Cricetulus griseus: one gene and its partners. The main gene of each other region encodes a partner of the protein of the gene in region 4 in a complex. Links are inferred from orthologs where the notes say so. Each region holds a gene or a part of one and is shown on either strand. Other genes may lie near its edges.

What was found.
Region 1: the proteins of Mapk1 (region 4) and Dhps are in contact, whole or in part, in a cryo-EM structure (PDB 8PVU), measured with the Homo sapiens proteins. The link is inferred for Cricetulus griseus from reciprocal best matches to the Homo sapiens genes MAPK1 and DHPS. Residues at the interface, in NP_002736.3 of Homo sapiens: Tyr113, Tyr187, Ala189, Thr190, Arg191, Trp192, Arg225, Lys231, His232, Tyr233, Leu234, His239, Lys259; in NP_001921.1 of Homo sapiens: Arg159, Glu160, Asn161, Asn164, Asn173, Glu174, Tyr176, Cys177, Glu180, Asp181, Met184, Asp188, Asp243, Phe247, Tyr250.
Region 2: the proteins of Mapk1 (region 4) and Dusp6 are in contact, whole or in part, in a crystal structure (PDB 2FYS), measured with the Rattus norvegicus proteins. The link is inferred for Cricetulus griseus from reciprocal best matches to the Homo sapiens genes MAPK1 and DUSP6. Residues at the interface, in NP_446294.1 of Rattus norvegicus: Glu79, Glu107, Thr108, Leu113, Gln117, Leu119, Asp122, His123, Tyr126, Phe127, Gln130, Thr157, Thr158, Cys159, Asp160, Tyr314, Asp316, Asp319; in NP_446335.1 of Rattus norvegicus: Arg64, Arg65, Leu66, Gln67, Lys68, Gly69, Asn70, Leu71, Pro72, Val73, Arg74.
Region 3: the proteins of Mapk1 (region 4) and Dcc are in contact, whole or in part, in a crystal structure (PDB 3O71), measured with the Rattus norvegicus proteins. The link is inferred for Cricetulus griseus from reciprocal best matches to the Homo sapiens genes MAPK1 and DCC. Residues at the interface, in NP_446294.1 of Rattus norvegicus: Glu107, Thr108, Leu113, Gln117, Leu119, Asp122, His123, Tyr126, Phe127, Asn156, Thr157, Thr158, Cys159, Tyr314; in NP_036973.1 of Rattus norvegicus: Arg1149, Pro1150, Pro1151, Asp1152, Leu1153, Trp1154, Ile1155, His1156.
Region 5: the proteins of Mapk1 (region 4) and Ptpn7 are in contact, whole or in part, in a crystal structure (PDB 3D42), measured with the Homo sapiens proteins. The link is inferred for Cricetulus griseus from reciprocal best matches to the Homo sapiens genes MAPK1 and PTPN7. Residues at the interface, in NP_002736.3 of Homo sapiens: Thr185, Glu186, Tyr187, Val188; in NP_001351807.1 of Homo sapiens: Arg124, Tyr125, Lys126, Ile128, Asp257, His258, Ser292, Ala293, Gly294, Ile295, Gly296, Arg297, Gln335.

Annotation. Positions count from the first base shown.
Region 1 is NC_048596.1:159,293,434-159,297,376, forward strand, and holds the start of Dhps (deoxyhypusine synthase), read right to left. Parts: upstream 2,801-3,943; 5' UTR 2,709-2,800; coding exon 2,502-2,708; intron 2,103-2,501; coding exon 1,938-2,102; intron 1,485-1,937; coding exon 1,363-1,484; intron 1,282-1,362; coding exon 1,185-1,281; intron 1,102-1,184; coding exon 1,015-1,101; intron 541-1,014; coding exon 435-540; intron 359-434; coding exon 255-358; intron 1-254. UniProt on the Homo sapiens protein: Catalyzes the NAD-dependent oxidative cleavage of spermidine and the subsequent transfer of the butylamine moiety of spermidine to the epsilon-amino group of a critical lysine residue of the eIF-5A precursor protein to form the intermediate deoxyhypusine residue.
Region 2 is NW_023276806.1:164,932,417-164,936,586, reverse strand, and holds the start of Dusp6 (dual specificity protein phosphatase 6), read right to left. Parts: upstream 2,810-4,170; 5' UTR 1,947-2,809; coding exon 1,547-1,946; intron 1,075-1,546; coding exon 637-1,074; intron 1-636. UniProt on the Homo sapiens protein: Dual specificity protein phosphatase, which mediates dephosphorylation and inactivation of MAP kinases. Has a specificity for the ERK family. Plays an important role in alleviating chronic postoperative pain.
Region 3 is NC_048595.1:168,280,125-168,283,633, reverse strand, and holds part of Dcc (netrin receptor DCC), read right to left. Parts: intron 1,148-3,509; coding exon 915-1,147; intron 1-914. UniProt on the Homo sapiens protein: Receptor for netrin required for axon guidance. Mediates axon attraction of neuronal growth cones in the developing nervous system upon ligand binding. Its association with UNC5 proteins may trigger signaling for axon repulsion.
Region 4 is NC_048597.1:72,356,857-72,360,950, reverse strand, and holds the start of Mapk1 (mitogen-activated protein kinase 1), read left to right. Parts: upstream 1-1,291; 5' UTR 1,292-1,506; coding exon 1,507-1,619; intron 1,620-4,094. UniProt on the Homo sapiens protein: Serine/threonine kinase which acts as an essential component of the MAP kinase signal transduction pathway. MAPK1/ERK2 and MAPK3/ERK1 are the 2 MAPKs which play an important role in the MAPK/ERK cascade.
Region 5 is NC_048598.1:54,117,286-54,121,546, forward strand, and holds the start of Ptpn7 (tyrosine-protein phosphatase non-receptor type 7), read right to left. Parts: upstream 2,808-4,261; 5' UTR 2,704-2,807; intron 1,653-2,703; 5' UTR 1,601-1,652; coding exon 1,479-1,600; intron 1,023-1,478; coding exon 839-1,022; intron 640-838; coding exon 555-639; intron 1-554. UniProt on the Homo sapiens protein: Protein phosphatase that acts preferentially on tyrosine-phosphorylated MAPK1. Plays a role in the regulation of T and B-lymphocyte development and signal transduction.

The DNA of each region.
Region 1 (3,943 bases), on a different chromosome or scaffold from region 4:
TATGTACAGGCCATCATCCTGCTTCGGTCTCCCAAATAGCTGGGACTATAGTCACCTTGCCTGACTGACATTACTTATGTCCTTAGAATTATTGCCACTTGACATGCATGTCACTTACTACTGTCTGACTGCCTCACCCCAAAGTAACTCCAAAGAGGACAGGGATTATGGCCCATCTGGTCCACTGCTGTAGTCCATGCCTAGCATGCCATATGTCTGCAAAAGAGACACCTGCCAAGGGCCACCCCACTCACCATGAGGTTAGCGTTGGCAATGTGGTGCTTGACCATACCTCCACCAAGGATGATCATCCCAGAGCGCTTGGCGAAAATAGCCTGCATGTTGATGAGTCGAAGGTCTGAGAGAGAGAGCTGTGTCTGCATCTGGCCTCATTGGGCCCTCCTCCCTCTTCTCCCAGGCCCTTAGCATCTCACCTTCAACGATGTCCAGAACTAAGCCTGGGTTTTTGTAGGAGTGGAAGAAGATCATGTCACCCAGTGAGCCATCTGTGAGCGCAGGGCTCAGCACAGGAATGTGGTTCTGGTGTGGACACACAACCAGTTAGCTACAGCTCAAACCCAGAAAAAATGCCAACCAGTGGCATCCCTCCCTCCTTCCCTCCTTCCCTCCCAACCCGACCAGGCTGCTTGACTTCTCTGGTGGACATGAGGCAGATGAGAGGAAAACTGTACATGCCTCTAAGAAGGTGTCTGCACTCTGAGCAGTGGTTCATTAGTTTCCACTCTTGGAACTCCACTGTCTCTGGAAGCATGGTACCCTGGGTCAGGCCCCAGTGAGTTCTTAAGCACTACACCTAAGTGGTCCCAATAGTGTGAGGGCATAGCTAGGATATCAGAACCCTTCATCCAACAGACAGATTACCTAGCCTCTGTTTGACACGCCTCATCTAAGTCTGGGAAGACTAAGAATAATTATAGAGACTCCCAGGTGGCTGCAAAGACAAAACAAGTCAGCACATGCCAAAGCCTAGGAATGTCATCCCTACCAACCCACCTTATGGGCCCAATAATACACAGATTCTGGGTTGTTGATCTCCTTGCCAAGCCGGGAGATCATCTTGGATGGTGTCCACTTGACACCCTACAAGAAGAGAACATCAGTATTAGCCCATATATGTCTTATGACTCTCCTATGTAGGTCTTCCTGAACCCTTCCAGCCCTACCTCTGTGTTCTGCTCCAGCACCATCTGGTCCAGAATGGGCATGAGCCAGTCTTCAAACTTGCAGTAATTATCATTTGGCACCAGCAGGTTCCCAATCCTGGGGATCGGAGGCACATGGGCATCAGTCATCACGACCCTCAGTCCAGCTTCCCTGCCCCCATCACTACTCAGGGCCCACCTGTTGATCCCATTCTCCCGGAGCTCCTTCCCACTGAGGCTGAACTCGCCAAGATATGTGGGTGCCAGGCACTTGATGAGGTCTTCTTCCACACCTCCAGCCGTGGTCACCAACACATCCACCTGTAGTCACAGGCAACAACACTGACCCTGACTGTAAGCAGCAGCACTCCTACCATCAGCCTGAGCTCATCCTGACCCCAAGTCTGTTCCTCTGCTTAGAGCAGACCCATAGCCAGAAAAAGTGGCACACTCCTGTGATCTCACCACTCAGCAGGCATAAGGACTGCCAGCATCCAAAAGCAAACATCCATCTCCTAACATCCTTTTTTTAAAAATTTTTTTAATATGTGCGGTGTTTTCCCTACATTCCTGGAAATGGCGCTGCAGACATTTGTGAGCCACCTCATGGGTGCTGGGAAGCAAACCCAGACCTTCTTCCACAAGAGCAGCAAGTTCAGCAGGTTCTTAACCTCTGAACCTCTTCAGACCCCTCTCCATTTCTCTGAAATGAGCAGTAACCTTATTATCCATTAGCCCAAGGAGGTTGAGGCCACAGACATAGTGTGGACTCACCATGTTGTGCTGCACAAGGTAGCGAATGGTCTCACGGATGCCTGAACTGATGAGGTTGGATGTGTAGCCCAAGAAAATGGTGCAGCCTGTGAGTGGGCGGCGGCTCTTCGTCAGGTCCTCATGATGGTCTTCACCTAGTGCCAGCGGCTCCAGCTTCTTCTCAATCTGCACGTGAGGGAGGGCACAGCAAAGTTGCACTGACTCCAAACCTCAGTCGAGGAACCCCAGGCGGCCTGGATTCCAGAGTTTGATTGTACTCAAGGATTCAGGACTACTTCAAAACCAAAGCACAGCCGCTGTGCAGATCCTAGCCCTGCCTTCCCCAGTCCAGGTCTGTCACTTAGGGATGTCACTAGGAACCACACAGTGTCTTCTTTTCAAGTCTCCTTACACTGGGAAAAGTGACTCCAAGGCTCTCCGGGCGTTAAGCTCCTCCTGTAATGCTCTTCTATTAACCCCTATCCCCCCATCCCAGAACACAAATTTACAGGACACTCAGGAGAGAACGCGGGCTGGCGGGGCGGCCCACCCTCTCGTCCCGCTCCTGGGCGGACCCGGCCTTACCATGGCGTTGACTTGCTGCACCGCGCGTCCAAAGTTGGTAGCCTGGAATCCGGTGGTGCCGAAGGCCTCCAGAAGGGCGTGATAATCCACGCCGCGGTTGAAGTCGTAACCCTGCACCTGGGCGCTCTCGGGCGGCAACGCCGAGCTGTGCTTGAGCACAGCGGCCAACGCCGCGGCGGGCGCCACCCCCTGCGGGGTCCCCTCCATGCGCCTGCGGCCGCTCACAACTCACAGCCGCTTCGCTGCCTCGGGACGCGCCGAACCTCTCGCTCAGCGTGGTCGGCCCGAGTCCAGGAAATGGGACTGGAGAGCCTGGGGGCGGGGCGGGGCGACCGGAAGCTATTTAGTCACGTGACTTTCGATCGCGCCTGCAGTCCTGGTAGCGGCCATTTTACGCCTGTGCTCCGTACACTGCCGTTATTCCCTGAAAACGGACTCAGTTTAAAGCGGATGAAAGTGCCTCCTTTGAAAGTTGTCTGTCCAAATATTCCTGCCCCGTATGAGTGAGGTGACTATTCCTAAGACAGAGCCCTCAGACAGGATTTAGGGCATCAGGCAGCCTCTTGTCAAAGGGAATAGCTACTCCTTTTGGTGCCTTCCCAAGTCCCCCTCCAGCCACACCCGTCACCTTCCACTGAACCACGGGTCCTTTGTGGGAGGGAGGCATGGCTATCATCTTTGTACCCCAAGAAGCGACAGGAGCACCTATTCTTCTGTAATTTGCGTAGTCTACACTAAATAGTGCTCTTTGCACCGGGCGGCAGAGGCAGGTGGATCTCTGTGAGTTCGAGACCAGCCTGGTCTACAAGAGCGAGTTCCAGGACAGCCTCCAAAGCCACAGAGAAACCCTGTTTCGGAGGGGAAAAAAAAAAAAATCTCAGTACTGGGCACTGAGCTCCAACAGTAAACAAGACCTCTGCCCTCCTGATGTCCCATAGTCTGAATGATGCAACAGAAAATTGTGGTTAAGCCAGGCTCAGGGCACACACCTGCCAGCCGTTAAGAGATAGAAACAAGAGAATCTCAAGTTCCAGATCAGCCTGAACAATAGAGTGAGACCATAACTCAACATAAGGGGATGGTGTGGTAAAAGAAATAGCTGTCAGTAAAGCCCTTGCTTTGCAAGAGTGTGAATTGGATGTATGTATTCAATTCCTAGAACACAAATTTAAAAAAAAAATGGCTGTGAGGGCAGTGCCAATATTTCCAGCTCTGGGGTAGCAGAGACAGGTAGATCCCTGGGGACTTGTAAGATGGCTCAGTAGCCAAAGGCACATGGTCTTCTGACCTCCACAAGCACACCATGCATGCACATGCTCATACATGCACAAAATAAAAGGTTTGGGGACCAGATGGATGTCTCCTAAAGAATGACATCTGAGGTTGTCCTCTGGCCTACACACACACACACACACACACACTCACACTCAAATATGAAGGTG
Region 2 (4,170 bases), on a different chromosome or scaffold from region 4:
AAGCAGACTGCAAGGGTCTATTAAATTATTCTCCAACTGTTGTGCAGCTAACAATGGAGGTATTCAGGCATTTTAAAAGAGAGGGAAGTCACAGGGGACAGCCATTAGGAGGAACAGGATGTCTACATGGCCTGAAAATGAGTTCCTTTGTAATAGGAAATGCACTACAATGCCTGGAGATTCGCTTCTCTTAGGCTCCTAGCCCACAGTTCTTCCTGCTAGATATCAGGTTACCCAGAGTCTCACTGTTACCAGCAAGCACACTGCAGTATCATTCAACCGGGTAACATTCAGTATTCACACTGCTTTCCAACAACTAACTTGGGTGTCCTAAAATAACTCCTGGGTCTTTTTCAAAATTATAATAAAGTGAAGTGCTTCTCTTTACTCACACCCTCGTCTAGAAACATATAAAAACACTGATTGGGAACAGCCTCCTTTTAAAAGTACGAATTAATGTTTCATCAAACAGACCCATGATCTGCTATGTCAAAGGGCCCTGTTTCCCTTTAGCAAAAAGGTAAACCACAATTTAAAACCCTCTAGGAACAATAGAGACCTGCAGTCCAGCAAAATAGCTTGCAGGAAAAGAGATTATCATCTTCAACTCTATGAATGACTGTAAATTAGTCTCACCTATGAAAGAGATGGCCTCAGGGAAAAACTGGGACAGGTTTTGGCTCCAGTGATCCGAAATAGGGATTTGCTTGTATTTGAACTCCCCTGCATTCTCAAAGAGGTTGGGCAAATTGGGGGTGACATTCAAGATGTACTTGATGCCAAACTCCTCCAACACGTCCAAATTGGTAGAGTCCTTGGCACAGCCCAGGTAAAGGAAGGGCAAAATCTCCACCGGGAAGGAAGGCTGGCTGTTGGACAGCGGGCTGCCATCCGAGTCCGTTGCACTGTTGGGGTCTCGGTCAAGGTCAGACTCAATGTCTGAGGAAGAGTCGGAGCTGATCCTCAGGCCCCCGAGACCCAGCACTGGCAAGGGCGGGGAGCTACTGCTGCACGAGCCGTCTAGATTGGTCTCGCAGTGCAGGGAGAACTCGGCCTGGAACTTACTGAAGCCACCTGCCAGAACAAGAAAAGCAATCTTGTAACCAGAGATGCAGTAGTAATTTTCAGCCTGTGAGAACCGCAGCTGGGTGCAGGAAACACTACAGGCCCAATGAACCTCCTGCAGTCCTAAGAGACTTCAGTATGCACCTTTAGAAACACAACCGGCTGCTCTCCCCCCCCCCCGAACTCTTTAATTCATCTGAATCCGGAAATGCACAAAATGATAACTTTTCTTAATATTTCGACCCCCAGCCACCTTTCCAGTTTTCCAGATATTTGAAATCGAACCAAAGAAATCGTGGGGAACGTAGAGGTGCCTGGTTATACAGAACCCTTGGCGGAGGGGGGTGGAGTACCAGAAAGGAGGCTACCACGGGGGCCCAGCTTCCCTAAGCCGAACGCACGCCGTGGTCCCTACCTCGCCGGCGGCTTCCCCAGCATGCAACCTTACCCGAGAGTTCTGCACCCTGGGTGCACAACGTACCTTCCAGGTAGAACGCCCGGCAGCCCTCGTCTTTGAGTTTCTTGAGCAGCAGCCCGAGGACCGACTCGCCACCTGTGTTCTCATTCCAGTCGCTGCTGTTCTCGTCGTAGAGCACCACGGTGTCGGTGCCGCAGCGTCTGGTAAAGCGGTCCCGGTCCTCGCAGCGCGTGAAGAGCGCGCGCACCGGCAGGTTGCCTTTCTGCAGACGCCGCAGCATGATGCCCGGGATGGCCACGTTGATGGCCGTTTCGATGTGCGACGACTCGTACAGCTCCTGCGGTCGGCAGTCCATCAGCAGCAGCCGTTCGTTGCCCAGCTCCAGCTGCTCGTTGAGCCACGCCACCGTCTTGCTGATCGCCATTTCCGACGCGAAGGGCACGGGTCTGAGCGTATCTATCATGGGGGTCGAGCTGCAGGAGAAGGCGGGGTGCCTAGCAGACGCCCCTCAAGGCAGGCATAGGCCAAGCACGCTGCGCGAAGCTGCCGCTCTCGGAGCGGGGTTCGATTCTGCCTCGCCTTTCCCAAGCCGAGGCTAGCGGTTAGGGAAAGCGACCCAGGAGCCAAGCCGGTGGTCCCTCTGCACCGGGCTGCAGGGATCACTCTTAGAATCTCTCTGAAAAGATACCCAGTTTTGTTCCTCCTCAGTGAATGAAATCCAATTAATTCGGACTCCGTGCCACTGAGAGAGGAAAAAGAAAACAAAACAAAAAGTCTAGCGGCTCCTAACCCTTGCTTTCCTGTGAGGCTGCAGTTCAGATCCAACCCGGTTGGATTCAAGACTCCGTTTGCCCACAGTCCCCAGGACTCGGCGAGAGCACACCCCCTGCGCGAGGCAGCTCCTCAATGGATACAAACAGCCAGCGTCTCAATGGATACATTCTCTCGGCCAGCCAATGAGAGCGCTGCGGAAGGGGCTGTTGCCGTGGGGACGGGCCGGCTGGAACAGGTTGTGTTGATGAATTGTTAATGAGTTTGTCATTCACAAAAACGGAAAGGAATTTCCGCTCCGGATAAGCCCCAGTGCAAACAAGCTGCAACTGCGGGCTCGGCGGGAGGAAGGAGAAAGAAGAGGAGGCGGTGGTGGAGGAGGAGCAGGGCAGATAAACCAGGGCACTTCAGTTGTCTCGTGTTTCCTTCGGTTGAGAGTTCGCACTTTGCGTCGAAGTCTTTGCGCACCAGTGGTGCAATTAACAACTACAAAAGCCCTTTTTCGCGACGCTTGCGCTCTCTCAAACTAGCTTTAATAAAACTTGGTGGCTCCCCCCCCTTTGTTTTTATTCCCTTAAAACTCTAGACCCGCCAGAGCCCCTCTCCCCGTCCTCCTTGAGATCATGTGTGGCATTTGTTTGGCTCTTTTAAAAGTCTAGTTGTTTGTTCTCATGTTCTTTTAGCCGAGGCTGTGTTGGGGCTGGTGAACTGCCTGGGCTTTAGTGACCCGACGAAGTGTTAAATGCTAATCCAAAGTCTTTCGAAACAAACTAGGGTTTTGTTGAAACATTTTAAAGCAAGTAAGCAAACAAGCATTTGGTTGTCCAGAAAACCAGAAGCTCCCCAACCACGAGTTTTCTCAACTTTTTTTTTTGGGGGGGGAGGGGGTAGCCCTACACTTTTCTTTTGCTCTGGTGGCGTGGGGGTATTCTAAGCCATTGTTCCGAAGATCTTGCTCCCCACCACCGGTCACCCACCGAGCCTGGGGAGTCGTGCTCCTTTGGGGCCGGGAGCCGAAGTTTGCCTTCTAAGAGGAACCGGTCTGGCAAGCCAGCCTAAGTGTCTGGCTTCACCAAGGATCCCCGCAAGCGGGGAGACGAGGCGCAGTCCTCCCGCAAGACCTGCAGGCTGCGGGAACGCAAGTGAAAGCGGCGACTGGCAGCTGTGGACACCGAGGCCGGTGCCCTACCCCTCCTTGGTTAAGCGGTGCTGGAGCCCCGCACAGAGCACTCTAGAAGCTCCAAACGCGCTTGCGCGCTGCGCTTCTGGCCACAGCCCCGGCGCTCTGGGGAGGGGGTCACCGGGACCACCCCGTGATCGCCTATAGGGCCAGCGCAGAACTGTCGCCTTGGGAGAAAACTAGTACAGATTTAGAGCTTTACCCAGAGGAGGCCGCGTCTGGACCCCTGGGTTCCCAAGTTAGGGTGGGGAGTTTCAAGGACAACCTCCGCTGCCCGTACCACCCGCAGGCAACTTAGGACGGAGGCGGCGCGGCTCCGGAGCCGGATGGAGGCGTGGCCGGCGGGGGCCGCGACGGCGACGAGGGCGCATTCCCGGCGCGCACAGCTCTATTGTTATATAAAAGTGCCGAGGCCGCCCCTCCCGGACGGAAAACCACCTGTGTGCGGCGGCGGCGGGCCCTGCGGAAGGCGCGGGTCCCGATCCGGTCTGCCCTCCCGGCCCCACGGAAAGGAATCGCTCATTGTCCGGCCGCAGTCGGGAGGCGGAAGCGCGGGCTGCGGCCCTTCCCGAATCCGGGGCGCGGAGGGCGCCTAAGGTCACCGGGTCTCCCCAGCCGGGCGCCGCGCATCCCGGTCCTACCTGCTGTCACCCGCAATGCAATTTGCATTGTGAATCACCCTCCTCCTCCTCCTCCTCCGGGGTTTGGGAAATGTGGGCTAAACGGGGCGACTTCA
Region 3 (3,509 bases), on a different chromosome or scaffold from region 4:
ACAGGTGCATGCTGATCTTTCTAATTTGTTGACACTGTCTACCAATTAAACATGTTAACATGGTCTGGGATTTAGAAGGCTATATGCCTTTCTTTGCTAGTAACTCTTTGTTAGAATCTCCAAGCTTGGGCAAGAGAGATGGAAAAGTGAAATGACTGTTCTTAAATATCACTAAGGTTCCCTGGAATGAGTATTAAATGATTTGGAAATTATTATACAAACAGGAGGCTGGTATAAGTCTGGTTCATTTAAGGGAGTTTCCTTATGACAGGAAGACGGTTTCAAAGCTAAGTAAGGAAATTGATGTTAATCACTTTCAAAACATTCCTAGGATGTTATAAGGAATCTTCACATCATGTATTCCCTGTTATTCTCTCTCTGTCTCTCTGTCTCTGTCTCTGTGTCTCTGTCTCTGTCTCTCTCTGTCTCTCTCTGTCTCTCTCTCTCTCTGTCTCTCTCTCTCTTTCTCTCTCTCTCTCTCTCTCTCTCTCTCTGTGTGTGTGTGTGTGTGTGTGTGTGTGTGTGTGTGTGTGTGTGTGTGTGCGTATGTGTATTATTAAGAGAGCAATCTAGGTTCCAAATAAAAGGAATCATATCAGTATCTATTCGCAAGATGTTATTGGAGTCCTGTTATTTCCAAGGAAAATGGCTTTCTTTCCTACAGAAGCAAAAGTCAGGTTCAGGCAGTGTCTGGTGGTATTCAGACATCATTTTGCAGCTCTTGATATTTTTCTACCTTAACTGTTGTCGATTTCCAAAAGAATAATTCTTCTTAACTAACTTTAGATATTCAATTACTAAAATGCCTCGTAAAAATCACTGTAGAAGAGTGTTTTTCGACAGGCCAGGATACATTGAAAACAACAACACATGGAAGATAATTTTAAATTTCATGCAATCAATTTGACTTTCACCTTGTACTTGGCACTGGTAGAAAAGCTGGTTCTCCATCGGACAGTGTAAAGTCGCACATCGGATGTTTTTTGGTTCTTCGGGACAGAGTTGTCTGCCCAGCTGACCCTCACAGCCTCATGGGTAAGAGCCACAGCCTGTACACCTACTGGTGGGAGCATGGGGGTGGAGACATCTGGGCCCGAGGTGGGGAAATCATCAAGCAAAGGATAATAATCAACTGGGTCAGTGGGATCTGGGTTAAAAACCCATCAAATGAAACAAACGAATGTGTAAACAAAGAGTTAAAATAAATACCAGTGGTAACACATCACAATGAGTTAAATGCATGGCAATAAAGATGAAAGGGAACATGAGAAGAACAGAAAAAATGCAATTAATTAAACCATGAAATATAATAAGAACAGTATTGCTATGTTAAAAATGACAGTATTTCCTCATATTTATGTTTAAATAGATTATGTATATCTTAAAAGCCCATCTTGTTTGACTGTTGCACATTGTTTCTTACAAGGTTTAGTTTACTAAATTATCAGCTTCATGATTTATCAAATATTTGAAATAACAATAAAAGTGTTATTTCTGGTGATTTTTTCTGAAATGGAAATAAATGCTATTGGACATCTTAATTTTCTTCTTTATCTTTGATTTTGCTGTGTTTTTATATTCCTTTTACTATTGTCTAGATTATATCTCTATAAATATTGTTCAGTCGACACACAAAATCTATGAAAGAACCTATATATATATATATATATATATATATATATATATATATATATCAGTTATTCTATCAAAGCCAGAGTGAGCACATATGCATGGTCACATGGGTCAATATTCATCTGATGTCTACAAGCTAGTATCAGATGGGGACTGGTAAGCAGGTTTCTTAGGTTGTAATATTAAAGTGTAGAAGTGCTCATCTTCCTGCTTTCTCATGCATAGGTTAGTTCCATTTTCAGTCCAGTCAGGCATTCCTATATTACCTTCCTGATTCTAAAACTGCAAGTGCAGTGGAAAGAATGAACATCATTGATAGGAAGACAAATTAACTACCTTCAGAATGAGAGATTGCCACTGAGATATGCAGGTGCTTTGATCAATAACATGATTGGAATCTGAAGAATGATGTGTGATTGTACAAACTTTCCTAAAACCTTTACACTTATCCTATGCTGGGACAACTACAATCTCAGAAGCTTACATTGTGGTAATAATAATCATTTCATTTTGAGACACTCAAATTTATAGATGGCAGATAAAAAACCGACCTTTATATGACGCAGTAAGGAATCTCACTAACAAAAATTTGAAACTGACAGAATTCTAAGACTGGACAGTTGAAGTCATTTAAGGGAATGAGATCAGAGAGGCAGCAGCAGCTTATACAGTTTATTATTTTAATAACCAAGCTCAAAGCTGAGTTGTTGTTGGCCAGTCTGTTGATTACTGCCTCTTTACCTTGGTTTTCAAATTCTCAGCCCCTATTCACCACTCTGCTTTCCAATGAATTATTAAGCATGTTACTAGCCTGTGGTTTTGGAGAAAATATTTTTAAAACTGAAGACAGAAACAGAACAAAAGGAAAGGAGAGGGAGAGGAAGGAAGAGAGAGAGAGAGAGAGAGAGAGAGAGAGAGAGAGAGAGAGAGAGACAGAAACAGAGAGAGACAGACACAGAGAGACAGAGAGAGAGACAGAGAGAGAGACAGAGAGATAGACAGAGAGACAGAGAGAGAGAGCGCTCTGGGATTAAAATTTGATGACAGAGCCCAGGCTTTCCATATTTCTTTTGATGTCTCTTCTTACTAAAGGCTCCTTTAAAGTCAAATGGATTGATGAAATGATGAAAAGAGAACAGAAGAAGCTGTAGCCTCTACAGGAATTTGAGTCATATAGTAGGTTTGTTTAGCAGGAAAAACTGTTTCTTGCCAAACTACAGCAAGTATTGCCTTTCACATTTGTATTTTTGCCTGATTTTGAAAGAAGAATTTTATGAATAGAGGAAGAATAGTCTAATGTATGAACTACTTTTGACTTCTCCATGTCATGGGCTAGCATGTAGTTTATGTAAACATGGTCTCTCATCCTTTGTAATAAAGTCTTGATCCTATTTAGGAAATGACAAAAGTCAATCCTGCTAGTTATGATTTTTTAAATAAAAATGCTCATGGCTGTTATTTATTGAATATTTTAGAGTCAACTACAGAATAACCCCACTGTATTTAAAGCAATGTTGTCTGTAGTGATTTATCTATGGACGTAATGTGATCCAGAGACTTTTGACAATGGCTAAGTTTTATTTTCTATATTAGTGAATACAATTTATTTTCATCATTCTCCATGGCAATCCCTCTAGAATTTTGCTGCATAATATAACACTATGTTCTATAGCTTTTATCAATTTAAACTACATAAATAATTATTTTGACTATTTACTCATTTTTATGGTGGCCAGTTTCAGTGGTCCTAAGTGCTCAGTCCCCACTTTAAGGATAGAGCAGATAAACTACATTTCTAGCAGAGAAGGGAATTCCAGAGAGCAAGCCATAGTGTGAAAATATGCTACACATGTTGCAAGTGTTCTTTTAATCTCTCA
Region 4 (4,094 bases):
TAAGATCTCATTTGCTGGCCACAGAGGAGTCTGCGTCCAGGGACGACAGGGTAGTAATGCCTGAGAGACAAACTGTGTCATTCACTATCTTACCATTGCTCTCCTTGGCACCCACCTACTTTAAGATTACAATTTTCTTCGGGTTCATTCGTGTTTCTGACTGGTTCTGACCCACAACTTGTTCAGATGTTTCAGCCATTCTAACTGTGCTATATTTCAGTACGCCCATCTGGGTTTCTGCTCATCTGTACCAAGCTGGTGTTGTGTGACAAAACACTTCTTGAGAAGACACAATACACACCTAGTCACTACAGATGAGTATGGATACCAGCAAAGTTGAAGAGTGTCCTCCAGCTATTTAAGTTGGTCTAGACCTCTTCCAGGCAGGAGGCAGGAGGCTGATTTCTGCTTCTTCTAAGCAGTTTGGCTGAGTCTTCTTTGCAGCTCCGTGGAGTTCATCGAACAGGGATTCTCAACTTTTATTGCTTACTCCAGCAAGGAGTAACCCGGTGAATCTGGTCAGTTTCAAGGACTCCCAAAGTTCCTTTGTGCCGTTTACTTTCCTGTTTAAGGAGTTTCTCTGCAGGATAGAATGTTTCAATCTCGCAGGAAACGGTTACACAACACCTGGGTCCAGTCCCTGGATTTCAGTCTTTCTCCAGCGTCCTCACCCACAACTCTGTAAACCTTCCCTCCAGTTTTTAATTGTTCACAGCACTTAGTTAAGTGAGCATCGTATTTGTCTGTCTCTTCACCCTAGAAGGGAGAAGTATTCAGCAAATCTTCTTGAACAAACCTCTAATTAGGGGATTCAATGCCTTGTGTTTTGGTTTCCACTTATGTCTCACACTTTTTAGGTGTGAAAATATCTTTCTGAGTCTGGGTCATGCTTTTTGGTTTCTGTCCCAGTTTGGCAGTCTAAGTTCATTAGTGTGAGGGCCACGGATTCCCAGAGGCCTGTCTCAGGGGTCCATTGCTTGGTGTATGCTGAGTCCTCCGGTCTCACGCCAAGTGCCTGGTTCCACATGAGTTCGTCCTGGGCACCGCACAGCGGTCGGACACACTGTGGGGTCGTTACGCCCAGGTTTCCACCAGGCTTTCAAGAGCCACCAAACAAACTGAACGCCCGGTTCTCCAAACGCACGTGACGGCCCTCCCCCGCAGCCGCAGTGCTCCTGCCTCAGTTCGCTGCTTCCGCCGGCCCTCGAGACCCCGCCCAGCGCCGCGAGGAGCCAATCAGCGCTCACGCCCTTGACTCCGCCCCAGCGCCCCTCGACGCCAGCCCCTCCCTCCTCCCGCTCGCTGCCCGCCCGTCAGGCAGGAAGGCAGGCAGTGGTTCACTGGCGGTCAGTTCTTTGCTCTGTGTTGTCTTCGTTCCGCGTTCCCGGTCGCGGGCGGCGGCGGCTACACGGGTGGCAGCGCGGTCCCTGCGGGAGGCGCTGCACAAGCCGAGCGGCGGCCGCGAAGCGTCGAGCCCAGCGCGGCGGCGGCGACTAGGCAGCCAACATGGCGGCGGCGGCGGCGGCGGGCCCGGAGATGGTCCGCGGGCAGGTGTTCGACGTGGGGCCGCGCTACACCAACCTCTCGTACATCGGAGAGGGCGCCTACGGCATGGTTTGGTGAGTGTCTACTCCGGTTTGCAAGCTCGGCCTCACCCGGTCACCCCTGCCTGTGCCCCTGGCTGTTCTGGACGCAGCCGCGGCCCTTCCCGCGCCTTGGCCTCGCGTTCTGCAGCGACCTGGACCCCTGACTCCTCTTTGGTCCACAATCACGGAGCCCGTCGAGGCTTAGTTGTTGCTGGGGTGCTTCCTGGGCTGCCCCTCGTTTGCCGTTGGAGGGGCACCCCACACTGAGGTCAGGACCCGAGGACTTGGTCTCAAGCTCGTACTTTGGAGTCTTCTCCCTTGGGACGGGAACGGAAGTGCACCGTGTCCCCTAATTTATGGCATTATAGCCGCCTTCTTTGACATTAGATCGTAAAACCAGGAATTCCATCACAGGCTTGTCGGTGGTGGTGGAGGCGGCCGTGGTTTTGCAAGCGAGAATCCTCGGCTTGTGTGCTGAACACCAAAATATTTTTCTTCCCTTCCTTGTGTATACGTGAACAGCTTTCACAAAATATCTTCAGTGGAGCTAATGATGCGTTCCAACTTAGGCTTTCTAAAAAGCATTAATGACACCAGCGTTGGTTGTGAGGATATTTAAATCTTGAAGTTTCAAAATGGATGTAAATATCGTTGCGTTGCAGGAAGGATAAGCTAGCATCACTCTTAAAGAGTTATTAAGATGTATTTGGAATTGGGCCTAATTTGACTTTAACTCCTTCGTTACCATCGAGTATTTTCAGACCTAATTTTGCATGGTCACTTGTAGGATTTCTCACCTGATTGTGGAATGATGAAGTGTGTTGTTTTTACTGGAACAAGTATTTGTGTTTTGTACTGAAAACTTGTGGGAGTAGGTTTTCTTACCCCTAAATTTGTGTCTTTTGTGCTAAATGAAGAAAACTAATTTATTGAAGGTCTCTGAGATACTCTGCTATCCGAATAGTTTAATTTTGTCTGGATAGCCATCTTGAGGAAAAAGATACCCTCTTTCAGATAAGGTATAGAAAGGAAGTCCTTTCCCAAGGGCGAAGGACTAGAACCAGGCTCTGATTATAGACAGATCCTGTTTCAAATGCTGCAGCTCTTCAGTCATTACACATGCCTTTCTTTAATGTTAGTAATAATCTTGGAACTTTAGCATATTTTCCTGATGAGCAAGTCTATTTCAGAAATGCATTCAAATTTGAATGGTCATAATTTTAGAAATGGTAGGAAAGACGTGTTTTCCACCAACTGTCTTAACTAGATAGAATAATTAACGTTCTTTTTAAAAAGACTCACAGTGTACAACTATGAAGATAAAGGTGAACTGGTCTTGGGAGTCAAAACAAATTAAATTAGGTCACAATTAAAGACTTATAAAGGAGTACTTAAAAAAGTACTTCCCCTTCACATCTGTCTTGCACATATTGCTGCTCTTGTACCTGCATGCCAGTAACTCTCTTATTATACTGAAGATTGCCAGTTATAGTTTCATTTATTTTAAAAACTAGCTTATTTTAAATAGGCACAAAAATTGAGGATATGTCATTTGGACTCCCCACAACCACCTCTGTTTGATAAGATGGATTATTTAGATTCTGGTGCTATTGCTGCTGTGGAGTTACTTAACCTTTGAAGTTTACAGCTGCTGTGCAAAGTTCTCTTTAAAATTCAAATTTTAGGGGCTGGGGAGATGACTCAGCAGTGAAGAGCAGTTGCAGCTCTGGGTTCTAGTCCCAGTACCCACCTGCAAGCTCACAACTGTCAGTAACTCCAGTTCTAGAGGATCAGATGTTCCTTAGACACAAATTTGAGGGAAATACCCATATTTGTGAAATAAATTAAATTTAAAAATACAAATTTTAATTTTAAGAAAAGTGTAGACCAGGTGGTGGTGGCGGCATACACCTCTAATCCCAGGAGGCGAGGCAGAGGCATGTGTTCTGTGAGTTCAGGCCAGCCTGGTCTACAAAGGGAGTGCCAGGACAGGCTCCAAAGCTACACAGAGAAACTCTGTCTCAAAAAAAAAAAACAAACAAATAAAAAATGCAGGTACAATTGGAATTTGAATCCTGGATCCATCCTTTTATCTCCAGGTTGATAACATCTTAGTATTTGTAGAATATTTTTAATTATAGGTCATTAGCATTTGATCATTAGCTGGGTTTATGGAGAACATCTTGACCTTAAATGCCTGCTTGAATAGTTGTGATCTTTTAAAAAGCTAGGCTTAACAATCAAGACCATCTTCAGATCCCAGCATCTACATTAGGTGACCCTCTGACTTCCAAGGGCATCTGCACATATGTGGTTCAAAGAAAACTCATATGTACATAAACATACTAAAAAAATAATTTTAAAAACCATGAAAAAATGTTTAAGGGATTTTCAGCTATCCTTTAGCAGGGTTTTCCCTAAAGTAGTTCATTGGAAATTGTGCCTATTTTGGTTAGATTCCCCTTCCTTATGTAGAAGACAAAAAGATAAGATTGGGTGGTGGGTGCT
Region 5 (4,261 bases), on a different chromosome or scaffold from region 4:
ACTTTGATGAGTGTTCTCAGAGCCTTGGGCTCTTCAGGCAGGCCGTGAGTCTGGAGGCTCAGCCCAGGGCAGGACCCATGTGCTGGGCTGAATTCAGACCACAGTTTAGGAAGCCACTGTAGTAGTCTCCAGGACTCAAGTCTCTGAAAAGCAGGGCGTGCAAGGCCTGGGTCTGTCTGTGTGAATTCACCTCTACCACACAGGCCCACAGTAAACTTCTGCAAATGCTATCTTGTAACCACTGTCTATCTCCTAGTTGCCAGGGTGGTGTTAGTATTTCTCTGTTGAAAGACGATGTCTCAAGCATTGTTGTTCCTCCTTGGCTGAGGTGAGTTTTTTTTTTTTTTAATTTTTATTTTATTTATTTTTGTCAAGACCTCATATAAACCAAGCTAGCCTAGAACTTGCTATATGGCGAAGACTGGCCTTGTGTTCCTGATCCTCTACTTGTGCCTCCAAGTGCGAGGGTTATTAGAGGCCTGCACCAGTATGCCTAGCTTCAGAGTTCTCCACCCACAAGGACACCACCCCTTCACCCCCGCTGTGGTCCTTACTTGGCAAGATGGTCTTGTATCGGTCCTTGGAAGCATGGCCAGGGATATCCAGGTCTTCAGGGGTGACAAAGTTTGAGGGGATCTTCTAGTGAGAGGAGTAAGTGAGTTAACATCTGGCCCCCTTCTCACCCTCCCTTTCTCCCTTTCCACCCTCTGCACACAGAGCAAGGATGGGGACAACCTTCTCTCCTGATCCCTGGAGTTGTTCCCTAAGGACCACAAAGAGAAGAGAGGCCCAAGGAATCCATGATGGTCTGATATAGAAGGGGACCCCAACTTCTTACCAAGAATTCCTCCTCCAGTTGCTTGGGGCTGGGTGGCTGGTGCTGTAGACCCCAGCATGTAAGGGGGTGTCCGGCTGTGCGCAGAAAGTGTATGGTGACCTCCCTGGGTGTGTTCACTGAGCAGATGGGTTCCACAGTGCCCAAAGACCGCACATCCAGCATCAGAGCCACACTGGAGCCCCTTCTGCAAGCACAGCCATCCAGTGCCCAGTGAACATCCTGGGTCATTGGCTTGCCACAGAGCTTGTCTTAGGAGGCCACAATTAGTCTTTCTCTTGACCTAGAGGCTCAGGGCACTCAGGGGTCAGGTCCTTACGACGTTCCCCTTTCCTTTTATCAGATAGAATGGAGTAGGCTGCAGCTCTTATGCCTCTTCCTACTGCCTACCTCTTCTACTCCCAGGCTGGCACAGAGGCTCCAAACCAATGCTGTGAAGGCCCCTGGACTTGTCCCAGAGATCACTCATCACAACTTGAGACTTTGGGACATGAAACTTGGTGCCTCAAGCAACATGCAAATGAACACTGTTAGTTTTCCTTCTAGGCCTTGAGGACTCTGTTGTTAGGACAGGAAGGCTGGGTATGAGGAAGGAAAGAAAGCAACCCAGGTCTAGGAAGACTTTCTCTGTGAGAGACCTCACCTCTCCTGCAGCCGCACATGCTTCTTGGCTGGAGCTTTGGTGGGTGGAGGTTGGGTCATGGCTTCCCCCAAAGACAAGGTCGGTGGCTGTGGTCTGGAACACCCCTCACAGGTCTGGACCATGCTGGGCTAGATTGCTGGGCTCAAGGAAGGCTCACTCAGCCATGAGGCCTGCCTGAAAGACAAGGCCCTATATTTGCTGGCCTCTGACTTGCCTCACTGGCTAGAAGGAGCTCCTAAGCCCAGGCCAGCCATCCTATTGGTTTTTACTGGAGGCATCTTCTCTTCCCAAGGAAGTGGCCTAACTTTTTTTTTTTTTATCCTGTAAGTACAGGAGCTCTTCGTTGGGATGCAGGACAGGGGACAATCTGGAGTTAGAGGAGGAGGGAGATATAGAGTGTAGGTATGAGTAGAGACAGGAAATAATCCGGAAGGAGGAAGAGAGTGGTTACCCAAGTCCACAGGGCTCCAAGCTGGCGTCCAAATGAGAACAACAGACTGCCGACCACACAGAAGGAAGGGAGAAAGCCCACAGCGTTCTCAGTCTGCCAACAGGCTTCTCCAGAATGAGAAACTGAGGCCTCTAGTAGCGTTGGAACCAGTTGGGGACCCAGGCAGGCCACACTTCTGGTAGGGTCATTTCCTAATTGCTGGCAGCTCTACCCTAAGATCACTTGTGGCTTCTGGGGTCTCTATCCAGGGTAGTATGCTAGGGGTGTTTCCTTCCTCCTCCGTCCCATCCCCCAGTCTCCCGCCTCTGTAACCGTCACAGGAAATGGCCTCGCCAAGCCTTAGAGCGCCAGCGCATGGTGAGGCTACAGCTGGGGGTACAAGAGAGAGAGGGGGGGGGCACAGAGGTGACGAGGGCATCTCCTTTGGGGGCAGTCCCTGTCACCTAGAACTAAGTCACAGGTGCTGTGGTGGTGGTGTTAAAGCTGCTAACCTACAGGGACAGAGGCCTGGAACAGTGTGGGCCCATGCAGGTGTGGCGGGGACAGCACTCTCCTGTGACAGGAATAGGCCTTTTGCTCCTCTTCTCCAGGCATTCTGTATGGCTCTTCTGTCCTCCAGCCACAGGGACACCAAATATGCCACTACTCATGCCTGGCCAGACATGGTAGCCCCAAACTCATGCTCCCTCACTCCATCCTCAGAGACACCCTCCTGTTTCCAAGGCTTCCCCACCCCAGGGCCTTAGTATGCCTGTGCCCACTTCAAGTACTTACTGAAGCAGCTGTGTCCCCCAGGCTGCCTCTTGCCAGCTGTCTGTCAGTCCGTCTATCTTTGAGGACTGAGAGGCTTCAGGAAGCCAGCTTCCTCCCTCCGCCCCTCCTGGCTTCCACCCACGCACACCCAGCTGCAGGCTGCCCTCCTGCGCCTGCTGCAGCTGCCACCAGGGGTCGGGTGCATCCTCCCTGTGCCCTCTAAGAGCAAGCTGGTGGTGCCGTGCCATCCGTGCTGGGTGCAAAGGCTCTGAGAGTGGACAAGGGATGAAGCTTTCCCTGACCACTCCAGGTCTGTACCTCCAGGTTCTTTATCATGCCCCCCTCTATCTCCTTGCTAAGAAGATAACCATAGGGAACCTTCAGTTCCTCTGGTTGAGCCCTTGGCTAGAGACTTATTTTCATGTCTCAATTCTGCCCCTGTAAGCCCTTGCAGCTTCAAAGCCTGGCAATTCATGGCCAAGCCCAGGCCATAGTAGATGGGCTGCAGAGTTACAGTGGGGGAAAGAGGACTCCTTGTTCTATACAGGAAGGAGGAGCCCAGAGCTAAGAAGGGAGGGTCTCCTCCAGGCTCTGAGTCCCTCAGCCTGCAGGCACAGGCTAGTTGCTGGCGAACAGATAGTAGAGCTAAACTGAAGAAGAATCTGGGGTTGTTTTCTAGGAACCCCTCAGACTGCCCCTTGGGGAGTGTCTCAGAACCCTGCATCTATCTCCTTAGAAGACTTACAGAGATAGTTGAAGGCTGTGGCCCTCACATCAGGGACTTCCAGTGTCCTCTTCACCACTGCACCACTTGGATGCTTGGGATGTGGGGAGGGAGCAGACCCCAAGTCTAAGGCTCCACAGTCCCCGCCACCCTGTCTGGCTTTGGCAGGCCCCTTGCTGGCCCAACTGGCTCAAGGTTCATGTGTGCTTGCAAGACTTTTTTTTTTTTTTAAACTCTGTAATGTTCCCAACACCCTTCCTGGCCTCCGGAGCTCGCATTCCCTATCCTCTCTCTCCCTCCTACTTCTCTGATTCAACTGTCAAATGGTGACACCAAAAAAGAAATTCTGTACAGTAGGCACAGGGGTGGCACCTGAGAGGCGGTGGGAGGAGGGGCTGGCCTTCTTCTGGCCCGTGGGGAGGAGGTGAGGACCAGGCATGACCTTTTGAGATCAGAAGGCTTGGGACACCTGTGTTTGTTTTTGGCAGTAAGTCAGAGGATGACTCTCTGCAACCTCTCCAGGGCTGGTTGATTCTGGCTCCCTCTTCTTCGTAGCCTGTTCTCCTCAGAGGAATAGGTGGGCTTTCCTGAGGAGGAAGCTCAGGAGAGCTGGGAGGTAAGGGCCGGCTCTTGTGCCAAGATGACGACGTGATAGAAGCAGGAGCCTGGGAATTCCTGCACACTTGTGTACAGTGACTGGAGCCTGGGCTCTGCCTTGACCTCCCCACAGGGGTGTTAGTGCCCTGGCAGATAGTGGAGGGCTGGGAGTGGAGACCGAGGGCCACCCGCCCTGGGCCAGCTGTTGATGACAATGAAGAAAAGGAAGTGAGGACACCACAGGGGTGAGGTGGAGGA